Bombyx mori: one gene and its partners. The protein of the gene in region 1 binds, or shares a complex with, the protein of each later gene. Links are inferred from orthologs where the notes say so. Each region holds a gene or a part of one and is shown in the gene's direction. Other genes may lie near its edges. The genes, in order: mediator of RNA polymerase II transcription subunit 23, mediator of RNA polymerase II transcription subunit 19, mediator of RNA polymerase II transcription subunit 25, mediator of RNA polymerase II transcription subunit 20, mediator of RNA polymerase II transcription subunit 31, mediator of RNA polymerase II transcription subunit 8 and mediator of RNA polymerase II transcription subunit 4.

What was found.
Region 2: mediator of RNA polymerase II transcription subunit 23 (region 1) and mediator of RNA polymerase II transcription subunit 19 share a complex: the UniProt entries of both Homo sapiens proteins name them as parts of the mediator complex. The link is inferred for Bombyx mori from reciprocal best matches to the Homo sapiens genes MED23 and MED19.
Region 3: mediator of RNA polymerase II transcription subunit 23 (region 1) and mediator of RNA polymerase II transcription subunit 25 share a complex: the UniProt entries of both Homo sapiens proteins name them as parts of the mediator complex. The link is inferred for Bombyx mori from reciprocal best matches to the Homo sapiens genes MED23 and MED25.
Region 4: mediator of RNA polymerase II transcription subunit 23 (region 1) and mediator of RNA polymerase II transcription subunit 20 share a complex: the UniProt entries of both Homo sapiens proteins name them as parts of the mediator complex. The link is inferred for Bombyx mori from reciprocal best matches to the Homo sapiens genes MED23 and MED20.
Region 5: mediator of RNA polymerase II transcription subunit 23 (region 1) and mediator of RNA polymerase II transcription subunit 31 share a complex: the UniProt entries of both Homo sapiens proteins name them as parts of the mediator complex. The link is inferred for Bombyx mori from reciprocal best matches to the Homo sapiens genes MED23 and MED31.
Region 6: mediator of RNA polymerase II transcription subunit 23 (region 1) and mediator of RNA polymerase II transcription subunit 8 share a complex: the UniProt entries of both Homo sapiens proteins name them as parts of the mediator complex. The link is inferred for Bombyx mori from reciprocal best matches to the Homo sapiens genes MED23 and MED8.
Region 7: mediator of RNA polymerase II transcription subunit 23 (region 1) and mediator of RNA polymerase II transcription subunit 4 share a complex: the UniProt entries of both Homo sapiens proteins name them as parts of the mediator complex. The link is inferred for Bombyx mori from reciprocal best matches to the Homo sapiens genes MED23 and MED4.

What each region holds. Positions count from the first base shown.
Region 1 is NC_085107.1:8,842,378-8,846,586, reverse strand, and holds the start of mediator of RNA polymerase II transcription subunit 23, read left to right. Parts: upstream 1-1,385; 5' UTR 1,386-2,066; coding exon 2,067-2,189; intron 2,190-4,209. UniProt on the Homo sapiens protein: Required for transcriptional activation subsequent to the assembly of the pre-initiation complex. Component of the Mediator complex, a coactivator involved in the regulated transcription of nearly all RNA polymerase II-dependent genes.
Region 2 is NC_085116.1:16,053,115-16,057,290, reverse strand, and holds the start of mediator of RNA polymerase II transcription subunit 19, read left to right. Parts: upstream 1-1,357; 5' UTR 1,358-1,882; coding exon 1,883-2,063; intron 2,064-2,149; coding exon 2,150-2,521; intron 2,522-3,042; coding exon 3,043-3,203; 3' UTR 3,204-4,176. UniProt on the Homo sapiens protein: Component of the Mediator complex, a coactivator involved in the regulated transcription of nearly all RNA polymerase II-dependent genes.
Region 3 is NC_085126.1:7,899,585-7,903,180, reverse strand, and holds part of mediator of RNA polymerase II transcription subunit 25, read left to right. Parts: intron 1-665; coding exon 666-839; intron 840-1,231; coding exon 1,232-1,429; intron 1,430-2,462; coding exon 2,463-2,606; intron 2,607-3,464; coding exon 3,465-3,558; intron 3,559-3,596. UniProt on the Homo sapiens protein: Component of the Mediator complex, a coactivator involved in the regulated transcription of nearly all RNA polymerase II-dependent genes.
Region 4 is NC_085134.1:1,812,552-1,816,924, reverse strand, and holds the start of mediator of RNA polymerase II transcription subunit 20, read left to right. Parts: upstream 1-1,484; 5' UTR 1,485-1,520; coding exon 1,521-1,654; intron 1,655-4,251; exon of another isoform or gene 4,252-4,373. UniProt on the Homo sapiens protein: Component of the Mediator complex, a coactivator involved in the regulated transcription of nearly all RNA polymerase II-dependent genes.
Region 5 is NC_085122.1:5,746,408-5,750,705, reverse strand, and holds the start of mediator of RNA polymerase II transcription subunit 31, read left to right. Parts: upstream 1-1,413; 5' UTR 1,414-1,724; coding exon 1,725-1,740; intron 1,741-1,816; coding exon 1,817-1,906; intron 1,907-2,288; coding exon 2,289-2,458; intron 2,459-3,462; coding exon 3,463-3,609; 3' UTR 3,610-3,634; exon of another isoform or gene 3,635-4,298. UniProt on the Homo sapiens protein: Component of the Mediator complex, a coactivator involved in the regulated transcription of nearly all RNA polymerase II-dependent genes.
Region 6 is NC_085118.1:10,646,222-10,650,404, reverse strand, and holds the start of mediator of RNA polymerase II transcription subunit 8, read left to right. Parts: upstream 1-1,348; 5' UTR 1,349-2,049; coding exon 2,050-2,223; intron 2,224-2,527; coding exon 2,528-2,773; intron 2,774-3,360; coding exon 3,361-3,457; intron 3,458-4,183. Other genes in the region: uncharacterized protein LOC134199859, read right to left, coding at 1-1,036. UniProt on the Homo sapiens protein: Component of the Mediator complex, a coactivator involved in the regulated transcription of nearly all RNA polymerase II-dependent genes.
Region 7 is NC_085112.1:8,189,529-8,193,848, reverse strand, and holds mediator of RNA polymerase II transcription subunit 4, read left to right. Parts: upstream 1-1,466; 5' UTR 1,467-1,722; coding exon 1,723-1,790; intron 1,791-1,863; coding exon 1,864-2,044; intron 2,045-2,183; coding exon 2,184-2,335; intron 2,336-2,782; coding exon 2,783-2,961; intron 2,962-3,509; coding exon 3,510-3,685; 3' UTR 3,686-3,853; downstream 3,854-4,320. UniProt on the Homo sapiens protein: Component of the Mediator complex, a coactivator involved in the regulated transcription of nearly all RNA polymerase II-dependent genes.

The sequences.
Region 1 (4,209 bases):
AAATACAGCAATATGCAACTGTGAATCCGAGGAAGGTACTGTGGATCATATATCCTTCAACTGTATCCTTAACAATAAGTGTGATCCTCTATATACTTTATCAACAAACATAATCCCCCTCCCCATCAACATGAACTTCCTATTAACTTTCCCCACTAAAACGGTAGTCTACTTGCTTGGATCTTTCATAAACGCTAATAGTATAAAATTGTAGTTCCTACTAACTGTTTAATGCAAAAAAAATTAAACTAAATAGGTCTTAGCATAATTATGTTGAGATATAGCACTAGCTGCGTGTCGCCGCACTAGTAATGTTGACTTGTTACCATGGATACATTCTCTACTTAATAAGATTGTGTCATGTGAATAAAATATAATTTGTGATATTAAAAAACCGAGTCTGCTTATTCTTCCACATAAAATCTTAACAAATTATGTTGATACCTCCACTACCCGACGTTGGCAAAGTTGTATTTAAATCTAAGTAACAAAAGCCAGAAAGAAAGAAAAAGAAAACTATTTAAGTCAACTAAATAGTGACGTTGCACCGACACATGTGTAATATATTTATTAAATAATCTTCTGATGATATGTGCTATAAACAAGGATTTTCTCCGTATAACATAAGAAGCTTTAAAATTTGATCGTCAGATAATTTCTTCACCATTTTTAAGTAATTTATTCGCCCCAGTAATCCGCAAAAACAACCAACACGTGCTTACTGTGTCAGCACTGGAATGGCACTGGATCCAGGTGCACTGGATTGGTCGCACTGAATTCAAAAGTAGACCGCCAATCCAGTTACTGGACTGGAATGCTAACTGGATTCAGTGCATCCAGTGCCAGTTTACATTTTTCCAGTAAGCAATCCAGTGCTGGATTCGATCACTGGACTGGAATAGTGTAAACCGGGAATTATTTTATACAAAGAGTAAAGTTCAAACTTTTTTTTAAGGGATTTTATGACCCGGTGACTAAGACTTTTAAGTCATGTCTTATTTTAATTTTTTTTTTGAATTCTTATTTTTATGAAAAATAATGAAATGAAATGAAGATTATTTGTTTGAGACATGAATCAACTTGGATGAAATCAAATGAAGTGAGATGAGATGATATGGGATGAAATATAATCTCAGTAAAATGGTGCTAATTTACTGAGATTTTTTCAGTGGACTTTTTAGATGATCCCAAGAAGTAACGTCCAGCGGCTTTGTTTCATTTTCCCACATTTGTGCACTTTCATAGATATTAAACAGTTAATAAACCACCATTATTACATATTTAAACCCGAAGAAACACTAAATAGACAAAATAAAACAAATGACACAACTTCACTCCTCGCGTTCCCGCCAAAAAGTCCATTTCAAACTTTATTGTCCATTTTTTTTTTTTTTAAGAGATTTTATGACCTGGTAACTAAGACCTTTAAGTCATGTCTTATATTCTTAATTTTATGAAAAATGATAATATGGAGTGAAATGAAATGAAGATGATTAATTTGAAACATTAATCAACTGGGATGAAATTAAATGAAATGAGATGATATGGGATGAAATATAATCGCAGTAAAATGGTGGTCATTTACTGAGATTTTTTCAGTGGACTTTTTGGAGGAACCCGAGAAGTTACGTCCAGCAGCTTTGTTTCATTTTCCCACATTTGTGCACTTTCACAGATATTAAACAGTTAATAAACCACCGTTATTACACATTTAAACCTGAAGAAACACTAAATAGACAAAATAAAACAAATCACACAACTTCACTCCTCGCGTTCCCGCCAAAAAGTCCTTTATTGTCCAGTGTCCACATTTAGCATAGATTATTCAATGCATTTAGTCATTTATTAAATTTCGCGTAGTGATGGTTTAAGTATCCCAGTTTTTACTTGTTAACGTTGGCATGTAAATTTAAGAAGAACATAATTCCTAACAGCTGCATTTGTAATTAAAATTTCTTTCTTGAGTTAACTTCTTCCGTCAAAGATCTTATACATAATTATTATTCTGAAAGACATGTACCGATAACTTTGTAACCTTTCGGTGTTTTGTTGAAAGCGTAGTTTGGATGCTCCAGTGCTTAGCTAGTTTTTTGTATAAAGGTGACCGTCAATCCAAGCGCATGTTCGAGGAAAATATAATCACGGAAATGGCCGATTCGCAAGTCGCCAACATAGTGAATGAAATATTGGTAAATATATTTTTCTTGGTTAATAATATATTGGTAAATATAAAGGTAAACGTTCTACTGTGCCCTGCATCTGTGAAAATAATAGGTACTGACAAAAAAATTACTCACATGATCATCTACATTAATTATGAACAAAATGTTGTTTACTATTGTTTGTTTTTCATGAATAAAACCTACAAATAATCGAACTTGTTTCTTAGTTGCAAACATGGACTCATGAGCTGATGGTAAGTTGTACTTCGAGATCAGAGGTTTTATGAATAAAAATTAATTTCATCTCATTCATTACGCGCTGAATATGTACTGTTCTGCGTTTATTAATATTTGTGTCCACGTGCTTATTGTATGTAGCTGGCTTGATGTGAAGGTTGATTGCTTCATTTATGTTTAGGTTTAAAGCATCTAGCGTGTTTACAATGTGTAATAAATTTAGTCTAACATGGAACGTAAGGACTAAGTATCAAATGAATAAAAAAGCAATTATGTTATGAAAATAACAGAATATTTCAAATTTCATTAAAACTATGGAATTGTCAACTCTATTTTACTGTTGCCAAGTTAACCTTATGCATTTGTTTCAGTTTTTAAGATAAATTAATATCTCAAATATTTGTTTTATTCTGAATTAAACTTTGACCGATGGGCTAGATTTATCACAGAATGTAAATTGTACATAGCACTGTAGCAAATGATAAAATTTGTAAAGGGATTAAACTAGAAACCTTGTTTTTTAATCAACTAAGACATCTTAAAGTATAAAACTATTGATAAATAAAATTTGCAGTGTCAGAACACCAAACTGTGAATTGGCAGCAATATTAAATAAAACATATTAATAGTACATTCAGTATATTGAAATAATATTTAAAATGCTGTTTGAAAATCTTTTACAAACTTCTTACAATAAAAAAACAATGAATGAGAATATTAAAATAGCTTTTTTAAATTACTCAGTTTAGAATTTTTAGTCTTATTTAATATTTAAGCATAATTTGCATTATGAACACATTTTCGTTTTTGCAAATTTTGTATATTCTTGAAACCTCTGATGTTCTTGAAATATTTTATGTGCTTATAATTGATGTATATGTTTGTGTTATGTAAGTGTTGTATACAGTTTTCATAAAAGTACTGAAAAATGTAAACAATTCTAAATTAGTGATCATCCTTGTTAACCTTCATGAAATAACATAAATTTAAAAAGGTCAATTATTTTAATTCAGCAGTAAAAAAATTTAAATATATTTGTTGTTTCCTTAATTGGTAACAAAAATTATCTAACTTATTTTTATATATATTGTTTACAGTTATCTGCACGTTTATTTAAACAGTACTTGTCTTGTCTCAAAACTTGCAGCTTTTTACTGATAAAAACTGTAAATCAATAAAAAATGTAACAATATTTTACAAACAGTATTAAGTAACTATTATAAATACATAAATAGATAAATTTACCAAACACATAAATAGATTATATAAATACATAAATAAATTACCTATTTTCATTCTTACTGTTATCAAATTCAAACATTAAAATTACTGGTCATAATTTAAGTCAATTTTGGGTCCTTTCATTTACCAACAATTTTCAATTATTTTAGAAGTGTGATTAAGAAATTTGCATCTGGGCATTATAATATCTTCCCATACTGTGTCCCCTACATTATTAGAGATTGGCAACAATTAAAGTTCTCCTATATGCTCAAGAGACAAATGGAAATTAATTACAGTAACTAAAGCGCTCATTTCTCCATTGTTGTGTCCTTAGTGAAAATAGCCTTTATAGATATTTTAATTATGTTACATTACATATTAACATACATAATCACTCGAGTTGTGAATTTATAGAATAACAGTGGAAAAAATAAGACACTTCCATATAATGAAATTGGAAAAGGGGTTTAAGATCAATATCAGCTGTATGTGACTTGGTGATTTGGGACACATGTGTTCTACTACCATCTCAGATACAAGCCCCTCTAATGTTCCTGCTTCTGATGATTAGAGGCTTTTGGGTGTC
Region 2 (4,176 bases), on another chromosome or scaffold:
AAAAAATATATGTGTATAAACCATTAGAATAGATAAAACCTTCAAAAACAACATTATTATTAAAAACGAAAGAAAAAATCTTGATATTATATTGCTTTCACGGCAAAAATTTTAGTGACTACTTAACTTGCTTGAAAGTGAAGAAATACTCTCAAAATCCATTAATTTGCAACTCGCACTCGCACATACAATAATCGAGAGGCTCACTTCGGTAAAGCTATTTGATACATGAGACAGCAACATAAACAAACCTTCTCTCTCCCACAAAATGAGATTCATAAGCTTACCACTAGGTGGCACTGATACAACCTCACACAAAATAAACATAACATTAACATCGACTGAGTAATTAAAAAAACTTGCACTAAGCACAGGTACATTACCCATTACCCGACTAATTATAAATATCGTTAGAAAGCTTGGCATTTCAATTAAACGCCTTAAAAAAAACCTTGCGTGCTACCAATATAAAAGAAAAAAATATCGCTTTTCAAAATGAATAAACGTCCTGCAAATCAAGTAACTCGCACTCAGAGCTCCGCACGTTTCACCGTGAAGAGCGTACACTCGATGCGAGTCATTCGATTCGATTTTTGAAACTCGCACTAAGCCTACGGACGTCTTATAGTTTAAGCCAGGACGACTTAAACAAAAAAAAAAGCCTAAGCATTTGTTTCAATAAGAATGTTTGATTTTTTTACTGCTTCAAAGTTTGAATGAGCTCATGCTTTCTTGTTTAGTGGATTTTTTAAAGATTGTATGACCTGTTACCGAGACCTTTTGTTGGACGGTTAAATTTGAGAGGACTGGGTTCTGTAGGTGAGGGGCTATTTAAAAACACTCTGCTTCATGGTTAATATATAACACCATTACAATATTTTATTTTATAAAACCCTAAGATGTTGCATAGTCCGTGTCTAGAAGAGAAGCCATTGTCCTCACTCAAGAGAAGACTCATCTGTTTTAAATATTTAAATAAGCATTTCAATATTCGAAAACTGTAACCTTACATGTGTCAAGTGTTACCTGCCATTACTTACATATTCAAACTCCAACACCATTGGACCAGTTTTAAAGTGTTTTCAAAGCTCATAGACATCACAATTCATTTTCCATACAAAATTATCACGGAAGCTCCAAGTGCTTATGTGTCAGAACTATAATAGACTATTTCAACTAATTCAAAACAAGTCTATTTTAATTAGACAGTTGCTATTTTAATTTGAGAATTGCTAGTATTTAATTTAAATATAAATTTCTTGAGAACCAACAAAACCATGTACCTATTGTTATGATTTTCTTTAAATAACAATATTAGAGTCTGTGGGAGTTACAAAGCTAGTGTTGCAACAGGACTTTTTGGCGGGAACGTGAGGAGTGAAGTTGTGTGATTTGTTTTATTTTGTCTATTTAGTGTTTCTTCGGGTTTAAATGTGTAATAATGGTGGTTTATTAAGTGTTTAATATCTGTGAAAGTGCGCAAATGTGGAAAAATGAAACAAAGCCGCTGGACGTAACTTCTCGGGATCCTCCAAAAAGTCCACTGAAAAAATCTTAGTAAATGACCACCATTTTACTGAGATTATATTTCATCCCATTTCATTTCATTTAATTTCATCCCGTTGATTAATATCTCAAATTAGTCGTCTTCATTATTTCACTCCATAATATTATTTTTCATAAAAATTGAATATAAATTAAAATAAGACATGACTTAAAGGTCTCAGTTCCCTTAAAAAAAAAGTGTTGCAACATTGTTCCTACTTTTATTTTTTAGAGTTGTCAAAAGCTTGGGAGTAGGGAAGGTCTTTTTAATTTTTTGTGATTTTGTTTAGAGTATTTAATTTATTTAAGTTCGTTTCGTAGATAATGGTCATCCAAGATGATGTCTGATCAGTTTAGGAAAGTAGAACCATATTCGCCAAAATCGTCGCCGAGGGGTGCGAGGTCACCAGTCGTCTCTCGCCAAGATTCTTCTGGTACACTCAAAACTACTATATCCTTAGGCAAAAACCCGTCTATAGTGCACAGCGGACCATTCTATTTGATGAAAGAACCCCCGGGTCAGTATCTCCAACTCTTTAACATTCTCTTCTCAAATTCTTAAATAATTATATTCAGGAAGTGACTTCGACGATTTCTTTTACAGGAGAATGTGAACTGACAGGCGCTACAAATTTAATGGCCTACTATGGACTTGTACATTCTTACAGTAAGTTTAATGGCAAAAAGCTGAAGGAATCCCTATCATCTTTCCTTCCGAACCTGCCGGGCATCGTTGACGGACCTGGGCAGGACGATAACAGTACTCTAAGTTCAGTTATAGCTAAGAGACCAATTGGTGGTAAAGAATTACTGCCATTAACTAGTGCTCAGTTGGCAGGTTTTCGATTACACCCTGGCCCACTTCCTGAGCAGTACAGATATGTGAGTGCAACACCACCAAAGCGACATAAAAGCAAACATAAGAAACATAAGCATAAAGATGGTGCACCTCCTGGGCAAGAGACACCTTTACAAGGTAAGAACTCAGAACTCAACAACATTGATTTAATAGATTTAGCTATGTCCCAAGCTTGTAGACAATATTACAAATTAGCCACCTGTAGATGCTATTTAGGTCTAGGTGAGTCTTCCAGGCACTTTGACTACATTAATCTAGTTAAGACAGTATTTGAATTGCAGTGTAATTGTACTCTGCATTTTACATTTTGTGGTACTAACCCGTGCGGGCTCAGAAGACACCCTATCAATTATTTTTAGTGAGTCTGTTTACAACACTGTCCTTCACTGTGGAAGTCAATTGTGAACATTTGTCAAGTACATATTTCATAAGGAAAAATGGTACTTATCTGCGGGATTCCAACACTAACACAGTCGCATCACTCAATATGAATGCACCAGGCGTCTTATTCTTTAGGCCACAATGATTTCATTTAACTTTAGATGTCAAGTGATACTTTTTAAATTGCTTTATAAGTTATATTATTTATACTCCATTTTTGTCTTGAGTTTTAATATAAAACATATCTATTATTCTAGATTCATCAAATCCAGACACATATGAGAAAAAGCATAAGAAGCAAAAACGTCATGACGATGAGAAAGAACGAAAGAAGAGAAAAAAAGAGAAAAAGAGAAAAAAGCAAAAACACAGCCCTGAGCATGGAGGCCTTACACCAAACCAACATCCATTACCGTAAATATAAGTGTACAAGTAGGTTTAAGTCGAATAATGAGCCCAAAGAGAGTATTGTACTAAAGATGACTAAAAATTAGTAATTCATTGTGTTCTAGTGATATTCCATTACTAGTGAAATGTACCTCTACACTTTGTTGTGCATATGACTAAATGTATGAACGGCACTCATTTGTTGAAACTACACGTGCTATCTATCATAAGTTGATTGTAATACGATGGAATGTTGTTAACATTTCATTAAAGTGGAAAGTTTTCCTCAATTGGTTGAATGGTATAATAACACAAGAAGAATAACATACAATTGGTTGTGGCCTAAAGGATAAGACGTCTGGTGCATTCGTGTTAAGCGATGCACTGGTGTTCGAATCCCAGGCAAGTACCAATTCTTTTAATGAAATACATACTTGACAAATGTTCACGATTGACATCCACAGTGAAGGAATAACATTGTAATAAAAGTCAAACCTGCAAAATTATAATTTGCGTCATTACTGGTGGTAGGACCTCTTGTGAGTCCGCATGAGTAGCTACTACCAGCCCGCCTATTTCTGCCGAAGTAATAAGTTTCGGTTTGAAGAATGGGGCAGCTGTTGTAACTATACTTGAGACCATTGCATTTATGTTACATCCACCCATCTAAGCAATAAAATAAAAAAAAGAGTAGATTTATCTGAATCTATATTTCTTCATTATTCAATGGGGTGTATATGTCCATAAAATGAAGAAAAAACGAAGTTTTTTATCACATTTTAAACCATAATAAGAAAAATGAGGTTTGCAAGACTTTTGTTTTTATGAAATACCTAAAATTGCTAGTCAGGCAATGTTTTAAACTTATAGCTAATTTATTATCTTTACTTCATAGTAATTACTTTTGATTCTGAACTTAAGATTTCTAGTAACTTCTACTTGGCTTTCAACAGGTTCGATTGCATGGTAGATTTAATAAGATTTTGTTATGCTAAGTTACCTAA
Region 3 (3,596 bases), on another chromosome or scaffold:
TGCGTCATTAGGCGACAACGAACGACTAACCGAGACGGGCGCGGAGCGAGACGCGGCGACCCGAATGACTATCGTATAACAACAAGATCCCACTAAACGTTCAACTACTACCTGTTCATAGATTTAAGAAAACTGTTAAGGAACGTTTGTGCAACAAGGCATATTATAAAGTTAAGGATTATTTACTAGATGGCACTACGTGGGAATGAGGCGCTTGCTCCTGGCCTTTTCATTTTTCATTATTATTATTATTATTTTTAATTGTATTTTTTTGACTTGTTTTTTCTTTTATTGTGAATATTTCTATTTATTTAAAAAAAAGAAAATATTTGAGAAAAAATAAAAAAAAAAGCCCGCTGAGTTTGTTTCGCCGGTTCTTCTCAGGACTGTGGCTTTTTTTGGAACCGGTGGTAGAGTTAACATTGTTATTTGTATTTTGACATTCAACAAGTGTGTCATACTGACATCTAAGTTGAAATAAATGATTTTGAATTTGAATTTGAATATAGTTCTTTTCTTCTGATTCGTAGGTTTCGTTAAACGAGTCGATTTAGTGAACGACTAATATTTTTTGAAGTAACCCGTTATCGTTCGCGCGGATTTTGAGAGACCCGGGTGGTTTGATTCATTCGTTCGCGAACGACACATATCTACATTATAATTAGCAGTGTGCACCTCACCAGAGGATGCCGGGCATGATGGCGGCGACTCCTTCGACCAGCAACACGCAGCAACCCCAGCTGCAGAGGAGCTACATCTGGAGCGGCGTCATCGAGCTCATGGAGAAGGGTAAGGCGCCGGGAGATCAGCAGAAGACAACCAAACTTCTACCTTGTCAAGTGAGTTGCAATGTTCCGGGTTCAATTCTATTGCCTGCTCAGACATAACGATCTGGACGCGCCTAGCCCGGGATTGTAAGGCAAACCAGTACAAATATCCTTTTTTTTGCTTAGATGGGTGGACAAGCTCACAGCCCACCTGGTGTTAAGTAGTTACTGGAGCCCATAGACAACTACAACGTAAATGCGCCACCCACCTTGAGATACAAGTTCTAAGGTCTCAGTATAGTTACAAAGGCTGCCCCACCATTCAAACCGAAACACATTACTGCTTCACGGCAAAAATAGGCAGGGTGGTGGTACCTACCCGTGCAGACTCACAAGAGGTCCTACCACCAGTGAAATCTATACTCATCATTGACGTAATTAACACGATTTACGATATACTATAGGTATCGACAACTTCAAAAGACATAGAACCCGAATTGAAAGCGGACACGTGGCCGAGTAAGCTCTTAATGCAGTTGATGCCGAAGCAATTGATCAGCAACATCGGAGGACAGTATCTCAAGGACAGCAAGTCAGTACTGTTCCACCTTCAGCCGAGCGAAGCCCTCGACCATTTAACCAACGTTATGGTCAACGGGTATGTGAGTATTACAATTTTTTTTCTACTTTAGTAAATAGTTTTTTTTTTTTTTTCATATAGAACAAAGCAAAGTTAACGTACTATCAGTGGGATTTAGAAGTTGTATTCCATGCCTGTATGTAGATGGTCGTCTAAATAAACTTTACAATTTAATTAATTTGGACAGGGTAAAACAGTATTTGTTTGATATTGAAAGCGTTATTTTTGTGAAATTTATGTAATCCAATATGTAGCTACTATTAATTGTTATGAACCACTTCGCTTGCCACTATTGCTACCTTTTAAGGTTGTAGTTTTATTTGATAAAACGCTGATGTCAGATCGAAGGCTTTAAAATGTTTACCCTTAAATAGTCATGTCATGGTGTTTTTTGGTTCCAATGGGAGTCAAAAAGTCACATAACATAAATAAATAAAAAGGTTTTTTTTACTTTCCTACCTATTCTAGTTACCTCGAGGGGTTATACTAGATTCACAGAACTAATAGGTGAGCTCACGGGGCTCTAACCGCTCTGACCGCTTTATTTCCAAACGAATATTCTATCTATCTATATATTTAAAAATGAATTGCTGTTCGTTAGTCTCGCTAAAACTCGAGAAGGGCTGGACCGAATTGGGTAATTTTGGTCTTGGATTATTCGTGGAAGTCCAGAGAAGGGTAAAAAAACTTGGAATTCTATAAAAGCAAACAATTTTGTTTTCCCTTTGATGTGTCCCCTTGATGTGTCTTTTATTTATCTATTAAGGGTACTGCGAAGTCTGCGTGGTCAGCTAGTCTGTAATAGATATTTGTAGTGGAAATGGCACACTACTTTCCTTAACTACACAGCTTACAATTTATAAATAAACACAACTAAGTAATATATTTATGATTAAAATTAGTCCACTGGAAATGTATAGTTATAAGGGTGTGTGTGTGTGTGTGTGTATGTGGAGTGTTTGTTTGCTGTATGTCCTACACTCTTGTATGTATTAAGCGGTGTATGCTTTTTTTGCTTCACGTATTGGAATTAAATAATACGTTTTTGGTTTCAGGCTGGCTGCGTACACTTCAATCCAATATCGTCGCCGCCTCAATGTGACATAAAAGTGCTAATGTTATTGTACACGCCCGACAAAAAGGCTTATTTGGGATTCATTCCTAATAACCAAGTCGCGTTCGTCGACAGACTTAGAAGTGTAAGCATTTTTACTGTGTTATATATCACTTGATGAAATGTTTAAGAATAATCAACGTCAAACATTATATTTGAAGTGGGAGTTCAAATTGTATTTTTGTAGAAAGCAAATTCTGGAAAAAAAAGGGTGCGTGTACTTATGTACGCGCGTAAGAAGTTACACTTTATTTTTAGTAAATTTATTTCTTTTTTTTTAATTTAAATTTTAATCAATTTGAAAAAAAATCGATTAAACAACATCCTCAAACACGCATATTGGACATCCCTTTTCTTGACATCGTATAAATTCATATAAAAAATATTCAGGCTCGCCAAGTTACGTCGGTCGTATTGTAATGAGCGATTTAGTGGGCAACTTCATTCTGTTAATTTTGTGTCACGGTGCGCGCATCGTAAAATTTCACTCTCATCAATTTTTCATAAAGCGCCTAAAGAAGTATAACTTCAAAAATCAATATCGGAATATTTTGATTACTTTGCTTGAGAAGTACTAATACAATTGAAATTTTGATCACGTGTTCCAAGTTAATATTTAGTAATCGCGTCTGACAAAAAAGCTTAGAATATGAATTTGGAGAATTACAGCAAATTAATGTAGAATTTTTTACTGGTGGTAGGACCTCTTGTGAGTCCGCGCGGTTAGGTACCACCGCCCTGCCTAATTCTGCCGTGAAGCAGTAATGCGTTTCGGTTTGAAGGGTGGGGCAGCAATACTGAGACCTTGAACTCATATCTCAAGGTGGGTGGCGCATTTACGTTGTAGTTGTCTATGGGCTCCAGTAACCACTTAACACCAGGTGGGCTGTGAGCTCGTCCACCCAACTAAGCAATAAAACAATAAAAACCATCTTTCGACCAGGTCATCCAACAGCAGAAGATAACGCAGCAGATAATCAACAAGCAGCATCCGGCGACGGTCAGCGCGGCCGCCGGACCGCCGCCCAGCATGCCAGGTTCGATGCCACCTTCTCTCTAGGGGCTTGGGTGGAAC
Region 4 (4,373 bases), on another chromosome or scaffold:
ACCCATATATTTTGCGTTAAACTCCTCCTTAAGTGCTTTAATAATATCTTCCCCGTTTCCAATGATTAGGTATCGTCCACGTAAATCAGCATCCAGCAATCTTCTTTGTAATACAAACAGTAATCATATTCTGATCTTTGGAATCCGTTAGCTTTCGCAAATTCGTCAAGTGTTTCATTCCAACATTTTGGTGATTCAATCAATCCATATAATGCTCTCTTTAGTTTTAATGCTGTATTATTATTTTTTATTTCTAATCCTTGGGGTATTTTGATAAATACATCAGACTTCAATTTTCCATTTAGGAATGCAGTGGGAATGTCTAGTTGAATAATCTTTAAATCATCTTGTACAGCTTTTGATAAGATCATTCTTATGGTAGAATGTCTAGCAACGGGTGCATAAACGCTGTCAAAAATATCTTTTTTCTTTTGTTGGAAGCCTCTAGCTACCAGTCTTGCCTTTTTTGTTCCATCTTCTTTTAGTTTAAATATCCATTTTGTATCAATGAGCTTTCTTCCATCGGTTATTTCTTGTTCTTCCCACGTTTCTAGTCTTTGGAGTGCATCTAGTTCTTTATTGATTGCGTTTTTCCATTCTGGTTCTTTTATAGCTTCTTCGAAAGTTTCTGGTGCATTTGCACTCAGACATATAACAATATTAGTTTCATTTATGTTTTCTATATTCGTCTCGTAATCTTTAAGATAAGCAGGAGGATTTATCGTTCTTTTGGGTCTGATTATTGCTTCTTCAATTTGATCAGTGTTCATTTCTGCATCTTTAAATTCATCTTCCTGTTCTACAATATCTTGCTTTTCTTTATTGATTTCTTCTTCTTTGTCTTGAATATATCTAACTTGTTTCACTTCTTCTTTGTTTTTGAATTTAATGTCGCTTTCATCAAATCTTACATCTCTGGAAATAACTATTTTATCTTCTTCTGGATCCCATAATCTGTAACCAACAGTTCCATAACCTACCATTCTTGTTTCTTTTGCTCTCTTGGCAAACTTGTCCGGTTTGGGTACTATAGTAGCCCAAGCTTTGGAACCAAATACTCTCAATCTCGATATGTCGTTTTTACCAAAAAATATTCCGCTGGGTGTCTTGAAGCTTATGGCCCATGATGGCGATCTGTTTAATTGGTAAACTGCACATTGTATTGCTTCGCACCACAGATGTTTTGGCAAATTGGTTTCCGCTAATAGAGTCCTCGTTTTGTCGCATAATGTGCGGTTCATTCGTTCTGATATGCCATTAAGTTGTGGCGTGTACGGTAATGTGTATTCTAAACTAATACCTCTATTTATGCAAAAAAGTTTCAAACTGTTAGCAGTGTACTCTCCACCATTATCGCATCTAATTCTTTTAACTTTATTCCCCGTTTCGTTTTCAATTCTTAATACATAGTTCATCAGTCGTTCTGTTGCTTCAGATTTGCTCTTCAGGGGATACACTACGCAAAAATGAGAGAAATCGTCAATAATTTTCATAAAATATTTTTCACCATTAGGTCCTTGATGTCTGATCGGTCCTGCTATGTCTGTGTGAAGCATCTCGGCTGTCATTTTTGTTCTAGGCTTTGGGATAGGCGTGAACGGGCTTCGGGTGGCTTTGCCCTCCATACAAGGACTGCAAATTCTATTAGATACAGGTAAGTTTAGTATATTAAGGCTTTTCCTATTTAAGTGACCTAAACGTTTGTGCCATAGATCTGTCGCATCAGTAATATTACAGACTTCGGACTTACATAATTCGGCTTGTAGCTTATACAACTTTCCTTGCACGATGCCGCGTAAAAATGTCTTTTTATTAAATATTTTAACATTGTATTTATTAAAGTTTATGTTAAAACCTGCCTCGACAATCTTTTTTACTGATAATAAATTGTATGAAACATCTTTCACAATTAGAGCATCAATATTAATCGTAGTATTTTGATATTTTACTTTAAGTTTACCTCTTTTACTAGTTGTAATACATTGGCCGTTAGCTACGAATATTTTGACATGTTTATCTAAATACGTAATATCCGTCATATAATTTTCATATTTTTCATTTATTAAATGCTCCGTACATCCTGAGTCTATAATTAGTTCTATGTTACCACATTCACCCACATTAGCAATAATATCGCTAGCAATGAAACCTATTTCTTTATTTTCTGTGCCTGCTGCTGAAGCATGTTGATACGTTGTATGTCGTGAACTTGAATTTCCTCTAAATGAGCGTCCACACGATCTTGGATAGCTCCGTCCTCGTGTCAATGACTGTCCTCTACTCGGCGCTTGTCCTCGTCCTGATCGGCATTCGAATGATTTGTGTCCACGTTTTCCGCAGGAGTGGCACGTGATGAAGGCATTATTCTCATAACCTTCACTATTTCTGTCCATTTTTAACTTTGTCTCCATATCGAGTAGTCTTGCTTTAACAAATTCTATGTTCAGTTGTTTCTCGGAACCCATAGTCTCAATTGATGTAATTAATTGATCGTATATCTTTGGTAAAGAAGACAGCAGATAGCAAATTTGGTCTTCTACTTCGACGCTTACGTTGATTGCCGCTAATTCGCTAAGAATTCCTTCAAATTTTAGGAAAAATTGCTGTAAGTTGCTTTCATCATCATAGCACATTGTTATGAGTTTCCGTTTTAAATAAAATTTATTACAGACTGTTTTTCGTTCAAATATGGCCTCCAATGACGTTAGCATTTCTTTTGTCGTATTCGCATTTTTTACGATGTAAATATATTTGTCGCTCAGACATTGTACCAAAATTGATTTTGCTCGTGAGTCATCCTGATCCGTCGGTTTCTCTTTTAAGAATACATTGCTTAATTACTTTTCTTCCAGCAGTAATTTCAATCTAAATTTCCAATGACTAAAATTTGAATTTTCAGTCAAAATCGGCAGAAGAGACCTCGCAGTTGTCATCTTTCTTTTTTATAATTTTCGCCGATATTATTTCTAGTGGATCGCAACCCAATATATTTTTATTTACTTACTGCACACGCGGTCTGCTACCATGTTAAGATTTTATATGAAAGAATAAGCAGACTCTTTTTATTATCATCAGTTATATTTTATTCACACGACACAATCTTATTAAGTAGAGAATGTATCCATGGTAGCGAGTCAACATTACTAGTGCGGCGACACGCAGCTAGTGCTATATCTCAACATGTAAGATAAGGACTCAGTCGATACTGTTAGTAGTTTCTCGGGTTCTTTTAAAATTATCTTTGAATTCTCACCAAATTCTAACTATTTTAACTAGAGATTCTTTTATTTCATCTCATCCAAAAACTATGGTGTTGTCTGTTATCATTGCCTTTAATCTTGTCCCATTAGGTACTAATATTATAAAGAGGAAAGATTTGTTTGTTTGTTTGTTTCGAATAGACTCCGAAACTACTGGACCAATTTGAAAAATTCTTTTTCCATTAGAAGCCGACATTGTCCCTGATGAACATAGGCTAATTTTTTTTAATTTTTTTTATTTTATTTTTTTGGTTTCATGTGTGTTTTAATGTTTCCGAAGCGAAGCGAGGGCGGGTCGCTAGTTAGGTATAATTTCTAATAGATAATGTAGATTTTCCCACCGTCTAGTATCCGAACTTCTTAAAAACAGTCTGTCAAGTGTATTGGGATCCAAGCGGTTCCGCTCATCACTTGCGTTATTGCAGGCAATTGAAGCGCTCTCACAAGGTAAAGATGATGCCTCAATACTCATATACATCATGGCTCTGTTAGCACATCCCACTTCTCCTGGATGAGCCTTTGCTCGCCCACATGTCCTGGTGAAACTGGAAAGGCCTCTGGCCCACCAGTGATCCCTCATTCATAAAAGAAAAACATGGCTATTGAGTGGACGTAGTGTTAGATGGTTTTTTTTCTTCTTTTCTTGCCAGTGAAGTATGTGGTCATACTTCAGGTACACAACTGCCTGCAAATAAATAGTGTTCAATTTCTTCGTCTAAGCCTTCATTTCTCAGTGCAATAAATGTAAAAAGTTGCTTTTTCATCAGCAATTTATGAAAATCCCAAATTACTTCTTCCGTATCAGTTCGATTCCGTCGACTTCTTCACTATTATTTTGTGGAAGTTGTTCTTGTGATTTACTATCTAAAATTGAAGTATTTATTCTATTTATTGCTTGATAACAGGCTAATTGTAAATAAATTACTGGTTTTTACCAAAACCGAAAAAATCAACATCGATATTCAAGGGTCAAATATCGATGCAGTGAATCGATTCAGATTCGATTAATCGATCTCAGATAGGCACCCCTGTCTATTACTAATATTAAATTGCAAGCCCTCTGCCTGCCCACTGCCATAGCGACTAAAATAATTTAATAATCTGTGCTTTGTA
Region 5 (4,298 bases), on another chromosome or scaffold:
ATTTATTTTCCCTGTTATATAATTATTCTGATTTTTTTTGTAAATTCAATTCGTTCTAAATCATTTATGTTTTGTTGCGATAAGTTTCCTTCGTTTTTTATTATTTATAAACTGTAAATAAATAAAACGGCGAATTATAAAAACGTTATTACTTGACGCTGGCTAATGCACAAAACGTGCCAGAGCCAAAAATAAAGAAGAAGAAGAAGAACTGCGTTTATACCATAGAGTTACTACTTATTAACTCCATGGTTTATACATATATTAAGTGTATAATCTATGGTTTATACTGTCTAATTATTTCATAAGTGGATCAAAAAAATATTGAAAACTTCAACAATAATTCAACAAAAAAATGTCGGTGAAGAGTGAAGACGGTCAATTAGTCGTTAAAGTACAATTAGCGTGGTTTTCAGTTCAGTTATTTTTAATGATACTATTCATTACCATGCAATAGGAGATAGTTAAGATACTTGTATTTTATAATAAAATTAATAATTCCTAAATTCATACTTAGTTCAAAAAATGTAAATATAATGCACACAAAATCTGTTTTTGTTGAAATGATAATTATTTATAAGTTCAAGAAATATATTGCAGGGACATTTAGTAGAAATTCATTTAATATAGAAGAATAAACTTAGTATATATACTTATACTCTATAAACAGGATTTTTTAAGAATAATTATATCTATTTGATATATATAATAATATTATAATAATGATATTAAGTATAAATGAAGCTGATTAATACGAAACATGGCATGAAATGAAATGAGATGAGATGATATGGAATGAAATATAATTTCAGTAAAATGGTGGTTATTTATTGAGACTTTTTCTGTGGACTTGTTGGAGGATCCCGAGAAGTTATGTTCAGCGGCTATATTTTATTTTCCCACATTTGTGCACTTTTACAGATATTAAACAGTTAATAAACCAGCTCTATTAAACATTTAAACCAGATTTTTTTTAAGGGATGTTATGACCTGTTAACTAAGACCTTTAAGTTATATTTTATTTTAATTTATATTCTTATTTTTATGAAAAATTATAATATGGAGTGAAATGAAATGAAGATGATTAATTTGAGAAATTAATCAACTGGGATGAAATTAAATGGAATGAGATAATATGGGATGAAATATAATCTCAGTAAAATGGTGATCATTTACTGTGGTTTGTTCAGTGGACTTTTTGGAGGAACCCATTTAAACTTGAAGAAACATTAAATAGACAAAATAAAACAAATCACACAACTTCACTCATCGCGTTCCCGCCAAAAAGTTTAGGTATAGTACCTTTAGGCCAAATATTAAGCCTAAGTAGGATGATGATCATAGTCATAGACTAACTTAATGTGTAGTGTAGTATTGCTCGTATATATTAAGTGTATAATCTATGTATATTAAGTGTATAATCTATGTAGTATTGTGTAGTTGTGTTACGTTGTGTAGGACTCGGAAAAAAATATATACACAAATTTATTTATGTGATTTAATTAATTTAAAAATTTTAAGAGCTTACTAAGTACTGTGTAACATTTTAGTAATGATAAAATCTTAAATATCACATATTTATATAAGGATAAAATGAACTGTCTTGTGTAACCTGAAAATATGTTATTATTTTGGTCATAGATTTGTTGAGACGTACACCACTGACCAACTTGTTTAATTTTGAATAATTTAAATACTCCAGCTGCATATATTTCGGGTTCAAAATGATGGCTGGAAAAGGTAAGAAAGAATGAAATAATTTTATTTAACAGTTTGTTATTTCATGATAAATTAATAATCTTTAATTTAATTGCAGTAATGCCAGAAACTGAAGAGCAGAATCGAATAAGATTTCAAGTGGAACTTGAATTTGTGCAGTGCTTAGCAAATCCAAATTACATTCACTGTAAGTTGCCTTTTTGGTTTTTGTTGTTAGACTTCACACTCACCTGGTATACAATGATTACTAGAGTACATAGACATCATAATGTAAATGTTGCCACTTGAACTTATGCAGGCTAATGCTGCTCACTGCATACATACACTTATGGAAACTTATAATGATAACTTAATGTGATGACTGATCTGAAGCTATCAAGTTGGTCATCAAATCATCACAAGAGGGAAATAAGTAATAAATTGTTAGGTATTTTTCATACCGGTTTAATGATTTTGTTATTGTGACTTAGTTTCTAATCGTCTATTTTGTGATTAAATGTTTTTCTGCCCAGTGTTTTTAAATGTTATGTGTAATGGATGTCAATTATGTCAACTCTGTCTATTTACAGTTTTGGCACAGCGAGGTTATCTTAAAGAACAAACTTTTGTAAACTATCTTAAATATTTGCAATATTGGAGAGAGCCAGAATATGCTAGATATTTGAAGTATCCCATGTGTTTGCATTTTTTGGAGTTATTACAACATGAAGCATTTAGAAGAGAATGTGTATCGGCACAAGTGAGTACAAATTGCACCTACTAAATTATTTTCCATATAATCTTTGCTTGAGCGGTAGATAATGCCATAGGTTTTAAGTCCGCTGATAAACATTCTTCTTCTTCTTCTCTGTCGTTTCCTCATTGCTGAGGGTCGTGACCACCTTGGTCCAGTTTTTGAAGTAGTGTTTATATGAAGGTTTGTTGTGGCCTGAAGGCTTATCGCTCAGGCTGACCTGACGCATTCATATCAAGCGATACAAAGGTGTTCAGATCCTGCAGGCAGGTTCCAATTATTATAATGAGATACATACTAAACAAATGTTCACTATTGACTTCCACAGTTAAGGAATAACACCATCTAGTAAAAGAATCAAACTTGCGAAATTATAATTTGTGTAGTTACTGGTTGTAGGATGTCTTGTGAGTCCGCAGGGGTAGGTACCTCTACCCTGCCTATTTCTACAGTGAAGTAGTAATGTGTTTCGGTTTGATGGGTGGGGCAGCCATTGTATTTTTTTTTGTTTAGGCATTTACTTTGTACATGTCTATGGGCTCAGGTAACAACTTAACACTACTTGGCCTTTTTTTTTTCTGATATAGTTTTATGATTTATAGGTTTCACAGTATGATGTTTATGGGCTTAAAACCAAAACAGAGCTTGACTTACAAATCAACAGTAAAAAAAATATGCAAATGAAATTGAGCTAGTTTGAATGTAAGAATATAAATTTGGTAATTGTTAATGACCACGTACAAGTTACTGCAAAAGTCATATTATTATAATTTATTGGCTTTTATTTACCACCTCATTAGTAGCTGTGCTTTATTCTTGTACTCTACCAAATATAAAATTTATGACTGTGCCAAACTGGCCCTTGACCAAATACCGCTTTTAATTTTATCCGATAGCAGTATAATTTGTATGTATTACAATTTTTAAATAAAGCCTGTGTTTAGATCACTCTGATGGATAGGTACTGTTCAAAATATCTTCATTAATGAATGATTAATATTTTCCTTAAGGTTTGCAAATTCATGGACGATCAAGCAATATTGCTATGGCAACATTATACTCGTCGGCGTACACGCACGTTACAACCGCCGGACGCACCGGCGCTTCCTGCGCCGCCCGCACCGCCACAACAAGGTCCACCAAGACAACAAACTTAGGATGTTCATGATTGTTGTTTTAGAAGTGAGTGGAAAATAAAATAAACTTTTTATAAATCTATACTTAATAAATAAATCTACAGTGGTTTTTATGGATGTTCCGTTATAACTACTGAACCATGCATCCGATTGACTTGAACTTGTTATCCATGTAGAAAATACATGTACATAATGGATAGGCTAATTATATGAGTGTTGGACTCCCTACACCAGTTGCGGGGGCGTTAATGATGTGAATCTTTGTGGGGGTGAGAAATAATAATGTTAATTTTAAATGCCCAGTGAAGCGGACGGGTACAGATAGTAGTGTATAATAATGTTAAAAAAATATTGGGCATGTCCTCTAGTAGGATGTCCCACCGGGGGACAAAGATCTCCCTCTAAATTATCTAAATGGGTGTTAATGAAACCTCTTTGTTATGTTATAAAAATAATTTGGCTGATATTAAAATATTTGTTCTGTGTAGTAGTAAAATATACGTAGTCTTACTCATAAAAAATATATTTAATTACTTGAAATGGGCACTGAACGTTTTTCAAAACGAATTTTATTTGATTGAACATAAACAAATCCTTTGTATAATAACCGGCAAACTTCTTGAGCATTTGTTGACGTAGTGGGGGTAAGTTTGCGCATGGTACACTCACGTGCAAAAACATTACTTACTCTGCGTCATAATGCTATTAAA
Region 6 (4,183 bases), on another chromosome or scaffold:
CTGGACGCTGTTTCTTCGTGGTCACGAATTGCTCTGCAGAACCTGGCACAGCAGCGGCAGGCGTGGCAACGGTAGGCTGGGCGACAGCGACAGGCACAGCGGTGGCGGGCACGACGGCCGCGGCGGAGTTTGGAAAGCGCGCGCGCGGCGCCGGGGCACTCGCACGAGCGGCGCACGGTTCAGGCCGACTCGCAGCCTGGGCCGGCTGGGCACGGATCGAACGCACACCACTAGTGGACGACACTGGTCTCGATTGAGTCTCCTCTATCGAATCTTCTATATTCCGAGCATGGTTTAATAATGAATTGAAAGATGTGATTTCTTCACGGCGCAATCTTGTGCGTATTCTATTATGAAGCAACCCGTATATCATATCAAGTTGTACTTTTTCAGCAATATCATCCCGCGGTAGCTTTGCCATAAGCGCACGAATACGAGCAACAAACTTGTCTGTGTTTTCTTTATCCTGCGGGGAAACAAATATTTCCAAATATATTCTATGTGGTGGAAGGCGGGTGCCATATGCATATATTAAATTTTCTTTGGCTTCGTTCCAAGTGGAGATGTGATGCTTTAATCCTAGCCACCACGTAGCTGCGTCAGCAGACAAAAGCATGGCTAGGCCTCGTATGATGTTAGCGTCAGATACTTGAACGCATTCTGTATAACTTTCAATTGCATCTATAAAGGCCTCAACAGATTCACCAGGTGCACCGCTGAAAGAAGCTCTGCAACGCGCCAAGGTACCATCTACGTTCACTGGGGGCATCGGCGGAGGTGCCGGAGTCGACGATCTTTGTTCCATCACGTACGACATAATGTTCTTAAATGTTTCGGCCTGCGAACGTTGCAGCGAGGCCATCAACGCTGAAACATCATCCAAGTTGAACGTAGAATTGTTGCTACGTGATTCGGCGTGGGGGCGATCATGGGGGCTATCATGCTCCTCGTGATTTTCGTTGGCATTTGCATCTGCAGCAGGAATAACGTCGTCTTCGCGACGTTGCTGGCGATCTTGACTTCTAGTTAAAGGCATTCTTTACAATTAAGCACCAACAGCATACAATAGTTAGCAAATTTTTCACAAAAGCGTGCGCGCCATTTTGTTAGTCCAAGCAAGAAAAAAATTAGGAAACGTTGGGCAGCCAGATATAGTGAGGGGTAGATCTCAGGGGTATTTAAAACTATGGGTTAGTCACCAATATCGAATTTCGAATTTTAATCTTCCTTTATAACAAACAATTTTCAATTTTTAAACAATAATTACATTTAGACGCGGGCGCACGCTATTCACACTCAAAACGGAAGCGCCCGGAACATAGATTATACACTGTTACAAGATTGACATAGATACTAACTATGTATAGCGAGCGGGCATACGGCCGCGAGAGTGACGTACCGGTCGGTTTGCTACATATTTAATATTTGTTCAGAGTGGGGGTATTCATCTGATTAATCCATGGAATAACCGACACACCTAATCTCTTAATCCAGATAGAAATATCAGCACTGTCGATTGCACCTATAATTGAGGTGATGTCTGCCATGTACTTTTGTCAGTTTTTCAATTTTTTTTATTGATGATCACTTTGTTGGTGCAACTAAATAAATAAATAAATTAAAACTATATATAAAAATAAAAGTAGTGCCAACCCTAGCAAATTTCTCGTTTCGTCCCAATTAACCGCAATTTTCGGGTAAATAGGGATTACACCTATTTTTGCATTTTTTGCTTAAACTGGAATGCTAGTTGCATAATTTTAAATTAGACAACAAAGATGCCCCCAAGACTCAATCATTTTGATCCTGATTTAGCATTATATACATCAACAACTACCTTAAAATTGCTCATAAAGTTGGAATTTGTCCCTAATCGCCCCATTTTACGGTACGGTAGGTACCGTATGGTACCATTTTGAGATATATTACTTATGTACCCTTAGTCCCTTACGGTTATTTAATAGCTAGGTAAGGTACGGTACCTAAACCTTATTAAAATCTAACAAAGAGAATTAAAAAGTTACAATTGTGTACCTACCATTTACAACAATGAATATGCAGCAGCGAGAAGAAAAGCAACTAGAAGCTACAATAGTTGCGATTTTAAATAGAGTAAATGATTTAAAAACTGCAATACAAGCATTGATAAATAAACTAGAAACGGAATACGAGACAATAAATTGGCCAACTTTTCTAGATAATTACGCGATTTTATCTGGTCACGTAAGTCCAATTGTATATTGAAATTCATAGCATAAATAGTGTGTGTAATAGTCAACAAGTCTACAGAGATGGATTTCAACTTGAAGTAGGAAAGATAATTAATTTATTATTGAAAAAACAGTGAAACAAAAACTGACGAGTTCAAAACTCACTTGATGTAACCTGGTTAGCGTGGTCACTGATATTTATTAGGTATTATCCCATTTTGAGACTTGTTTTCAGATTTAAGTGCATTTGTACATAAGCTTTTCACTTTAAAGATCATGTGTTATTTAGTTAAATTTTATTAACTCTTTATTTTCAGCTGACTGGCCTCAGTAAAATTCTCCAAGCCGAACAAGCAGCTTCATTGCGGTCTAGAATTGTTTTACCACTTCAATTAAGTTGCGAACGTGATGAAACACTGGCTCATTTGACAGAAGGCAGAGTTCCAGCTTGCACTCATGATTTAGTTCCAGATTTACTTCGTACCAAACCTGAACCCCAGGCTGAACAGCGTCTCCAGCAATTTAATCATAAAGCTAGTACTTTAAGCTATGATACAGCACAGGTATAGACAATAATTAACATTTAATTTTAAATATCAGAAACATTTAAAGAAGCATAAGGTTTAATGTACCACAAGGAAAAATATCCATTATAACTATTTGGGCTAATTTTTTATGACATTCTTTGTAGACTTCGCAATCTAAATTAGTTTTCATTGTAAACGGTAAAAAAATAGATATATTTGGGGTTAAAACATGTAATGCACTGTTGAGTGAATAAACCCACAGCTCACTTGAGATATAGTGGCTGGGACCCATAGATATCACAGAGTTAAATCAACCTCTTGCTTTGAGATATTTGGTTGAAGTATGTATCAATTCTTTCTTTTTTTTGTTGTATCACTTGTCAGGGTGGTCATGGTCATCATTCAGTATCATTGCAATCATATCATCATTGAATTCTATTAAACTATGTATAATAAGTTCTTTTATATAATCAAGATTTGTCTGCAAAATTAGCATGATAATCAAGTTGAGTACTTAAGACATGCAATTATAACAAGCTCACTTTCTCATGTAATGTTGTGTAGTTGTTACCTACAATTATATAGATGGATGATGTATGGATTATAATAGTTTTATATTCCAGAAACACATTGCTCAATTCACTAAAGTTGTCAGTCACGTTTGGGAAATTATATCCAAAGGCCGCGAAGACTGGGAAGGAGAGTCAATGAGATCTACAGGTTAGTAAAAGTTACAATAGAAAATTATCATAATTACCTAAACAGTTGACAGATTTTAATAAACATTTCATTCATATTATGTAGTCCATTTTTAACTTCTAGAGGTTGAAAAAAGATGCGGGTCACTGTAGTGAAAAACAATTTGTCTTCAATAAAATTTAGACACACATGCTTATCTTATTTCACCTGACCCAAAACACATGCCCGAAGTCTCAGTTGTATGGCAGGCAGGCATCTTATAATTCAAACTGGCATGCCTGTTTTCTTCATAACAAAAATACTTATACACGTCAGTGACTCAGGATACACTCAGCTACTCACAGTTCTAGACCCCAGTCATTGGTGAATATCTACAGAAAAGACAGGTGGGATTATTCTGACCATTGTACACATATCCTAAGTTATTAGTTCATATAAGGTAGGTATGACTTTACTTTGACAAAGATGAAAGATGCCCACCAGAGATGCCCAAGATTTTGCCCACCACTTAAACAAGTATGATGATAATGCAATTTCACAATACAAGCAGTGCGATTATGGAATTCTCTCCCTCAACCTATTTGTGCTAGTTCCTCTCTAGAAGTTTCTAAGAGTCAAATGAAGAAACATTTCCTGTCACTTTAAAAAAGTGTATTTAAGTTATTGTTTTATGTATGTTTATATGTATTTTTCATTTCATATTAGTTTTTTTTTAAAGCTTAGTTTAAAAATCATGCTTTAATAGAT
Region 7 (4,320 bases), on another chromosome or scaffold:
ATATTTTTTTTATTGCTTAGATGGTTGGACGAGCTTTACGCCCCACTCGGTGTTAAGTGGTTACCGGAGTCTATAGATATGTACAACGTAAATGCCACCACCCACCTTGAGACATGAGTTTGAAGGTCTCAGTTTTAACAGTATAACGTCAGCCACACCCTTCAAACCGAAGCGCATTACTGCTTCACGGTAGCAATAGGCAGGATGGTGGTACCTACCCGTGCGGACTCACAAGACATCCTAACAACACCATTCTTTAACTCCGTATTGACTGATTATCGGAAGATATAATATGAGCATCACAGCGTGTAAGTAACCATCCATTTTGATTGAATTAAGGATTCGAAGTCTCAACTGTTTTGTCTATTATCTTGCCCTTTATACCGAAACGAATAACTGGTAGGTGGCAATAATAGGAAGCTTGGTCGTAGATACGTATCTACAACCTACGCTATACCGCCAATAATTACGAATTATAAATAAACCATAACAATCAATATCACAATCTTTCAATCCTTTTTCAGTATTCGCAAGTCTAATAATTAATAGAATAATTTTTTTTGTGCAGTGTTTCAATAATTTTGATGGAATCAGATGTCCTTTATTTTGAGAATATTTTTATTACACCAATATTGTATTTCTTCTGACAAATATTCTGAACCTGTGAAATGGTTTTTTTTTATCTAAGCTTGAGAGCTATGTCAGTGTAACTTATTAAGTAGGTGAGCTCACGGGGATCTAACCTGACGACGTTGCTAACACTAACCCTAGCAAGAGCAATACTTTGCAGAATCTACCACGGGATCGGAAACGCGACCCACTGAAAAGATCCGGCGAGAAATTCAGTGGGCTTTATTTGTGGGTTATTTTACTAGCCGAGCCTTCGTCGCAAGCGATGGGTTCAACGAGAACGATGAATGATGACCAAACGATGTTCAAATTCATGAAAGTGCACAACGGGTAGAAAAATGAAACGAAATCGCTACATGTGGTTTTTCGGAGTCTTTCAATTAACGTCTCAGGAAATAAACACGATTTTACTGAGAGATCATATCATAATAACTAGACTCTACAATACTCTACATGGGTAGGTACCAGCGTACTGTGTATTTCTGCCGCCAAGTAATCATGCATTCTGATTTAAAGGGTGGAACACACTTTATAGTGTAAAATAGAAAAGTGAAGTTAAAGTTGGGGGCAGCAATCACTTTGTGATGTCTTTAAGCTCCGGTAACTACTAATAGGCCTTGAGGTCATTCACCCATCTTCATAAGAAAAAGTAAATCATCTCATCTCGTTACCAGTAGTAAATTTTATTTTATTTCTTATAACGTAAATAGGCTACGGCCTTATAAAACAAAGTTTGTAGATATAAATTATACTGAAACTCACTTTAAAACTAGAAAAACTGTAAAAGTACGAGAATAAGTTTCTCTATATCATAGAGAAAAATATTTCAAGGCTCTACTAATTATTAGTCTGTGCTTGCTGTGGAACATAGTCTATGACTTTCACGTTTGTCGTCTGCTGTATTGGAAACATCAAACAATGTTATTATTTTTACTGTAAACATTGAATGTAGTTACCACGTACATAGTAGCGTTTTTGATACAAGAAATCCCAAGAGTCGCAGCGTTGGGGGGTCGTTTGTCCAGTTCATATGATATAAGGAAATAATACATATCGTTTATATTAAAAAAAGCTGTTAAGCTATATAGAGCTATGGCGTCACATTTAAGTACTAAAGATCGCTTATTGGCACTAATAGATGATATCGAACTTATTGCTAAGTGAGTTAAAACACGATTGAACTGTGGAAAACATTACCGATCAACTTCATGTTCTAATTCTTTAAATTTTCAGGGAAATAATAGAAGTTTCCATAGCACCAAAACCACAGAAAGTGTCCGCTGCAGATCATGCTCAGTTGACGGACCTACTTCTATCAAAACATGGAGAATTGAAAAAAACATTAGACCTAGCTGACGAACAAGCAAAGATCCAACAGAAAATGAATGAACTCAAAGCTGAAGTAGATAGTAAGGTAAATACTACAAAAGAGATTTATTTTAAGTAAAAAATGGATAAAATTTTGGAGTGGACTGACTCATCCACTGCTAGTTCACAACAATTTAAGCCACAAGCGAATTATGTAATTGAAATGTTTTTGTTGTGTTACTAAGGATCAAGATATATATCACCTTCAAAGACAATTGAAAGATGCAGAACAAATTCTGGCTACATCACTGTATCAAGCTCGACAGAAACTTGCATCAATAGTGAAGTCTAGAAAGAGACCTGTACCCTCTGAGGAGTTGATCAAATTTGCACACAGGTTAGTAAACAATTAAAGATTTCTACATTGAAATTAAATATTTTTTCTGAGTCAGGTCCTTAAAACACATGATGAGTACTCCTAAATATTGAATATTAAATATTTATGATCTCAACAGAGATTTCAAACCTGACCAATGACAACAGTGAGACAATGATAGTAGGCACATTGACTAACAAATAAATCAATGAGATGTTTAGTATATTAACAGTTGATTAAGTTTATTAATGCAAAAAGTCTGAATGGATATTAGGTATTGTGTCTGAATAGCCAACAATGTTATGAAAATAACTATCTACAGAAAACAGTTTCTTTCATAACTATAGAGTTACACTTTAATTAAATTACATTAAAAAGAATTTTTAAATATTAGACAGTACACTATTTTTGATGTGAGAACTAAATAGTACTTAAAAAAACTTTTTTTGACTTACTGATATTTTACAGAATAAGTGCATCTAATGCTGTCAGCGCACCTTTGTCGTGGCAACCTGGTGATCCTCGTCGGCCTTATCCAACTGATTTAGAAATGAGATTAGGAATGCTCGGTCGCCTCTGTGATCTGCCATTGAATGGTCACACGCCTTCTACACTGAATGAACTTCATCGTATAACAACTGGTGGAGGTATAAATGCATTACTCATTATATTAATGAATCATTCTTAGAACAAGTTGCATATGTATAGAACTCTTTGTGCAGTACATATTTATACAATTCTAGTATTGGTACTTTATCGTTATAGTTAATTTGATTCATCTACAATAAGCATGTATTATCATAGTTATTAATAGCTATGAGAGAAGTGGGTGATAGGGAACACCAAACACCTAAACTACTCAGCAAGTGCTTTGGCAGATATATCATGTTTTGGACCACTGTATTAAACTCAAATATACAAGAATAATATTTTTCAGGAAAGTTGAATTAATGATCAAATTTCTATAGGATTTGTAAAGAATAAAAAAAATCTCCTATGTTATTGCCACCTCTTTTTATTAATATTGTCAACAGAGGCTTCCTTCAAAACCCATAACCCATGGAAATTATTTAAGAATATTCTTATCATCAGAATTTTACAGAAACATTTTACCCTTTTGTTAATTGCATTAGGTAAAAAAAACATGTAAAACCATTTGCTTGTTAATCAGGTTTACTGTGTTATATTATTTCAGTACCAGCTTCAGCTTCAAGCCAATTCACTTGGCATCCATCAGGCGAGCTACACATGTCTGTTGGAGGCGGTAACTCTGTAGCTATTGATGGCCGAGGGAAGGATGCTCCCAACCAAGAAGATGTTGAAGTTATGTCCACAGACTCCAGTTCAAGTTCAAGTAGTGATTCACAATGAATACAGAAAAACCGTGGACTTCATTTTGATTAAAAGTGTAGTGCAACTCAACAAGTTAAAAAGACTGATGCTTGTGTTTATTATGAAAAAAATATTTGTAGAATTAATTCAAATGTTATTTAAATATCCTCATAGAAATGACATAATAAAAAAATTTATTCCACATAATCGTTTTGTTATATTTGAACAAAAATTTAACCTCCAAATTTATTTTTCGATATCTATGCACGCGAACTCTGCGATTAAGAGTTGGAAGTGCGAACTAGCCTGTTGACATAACCCAAACAGTTTCTCGTCAGTTCTTCTCAGTGGGTTGCGATTCTGATCCTGTAGGTTTTAACGAAACATTGCTCTTGCCAGGGCCAGTGTTGGCAAACTCTCTCAGGTGGAGCCAGTGAACTCATACACGTCCGCGCGTTCCTGGAATAGCCCCTTAGGCTACCAACGAATGGGTAGGTAAAATATATCAACGATCACGAGGCCCGATAGCACCGGAATATATTACAACTAATACTACTCATAGGAGTTGTATAAGTGTTTGGAGCTTTAAGACAACTTAGTCCGGATACTATTGCCCCTAGGATTTAGTACTTTAACATTTATTTTATTACTGGTGGAAGGTCCTCTTGTGAGTC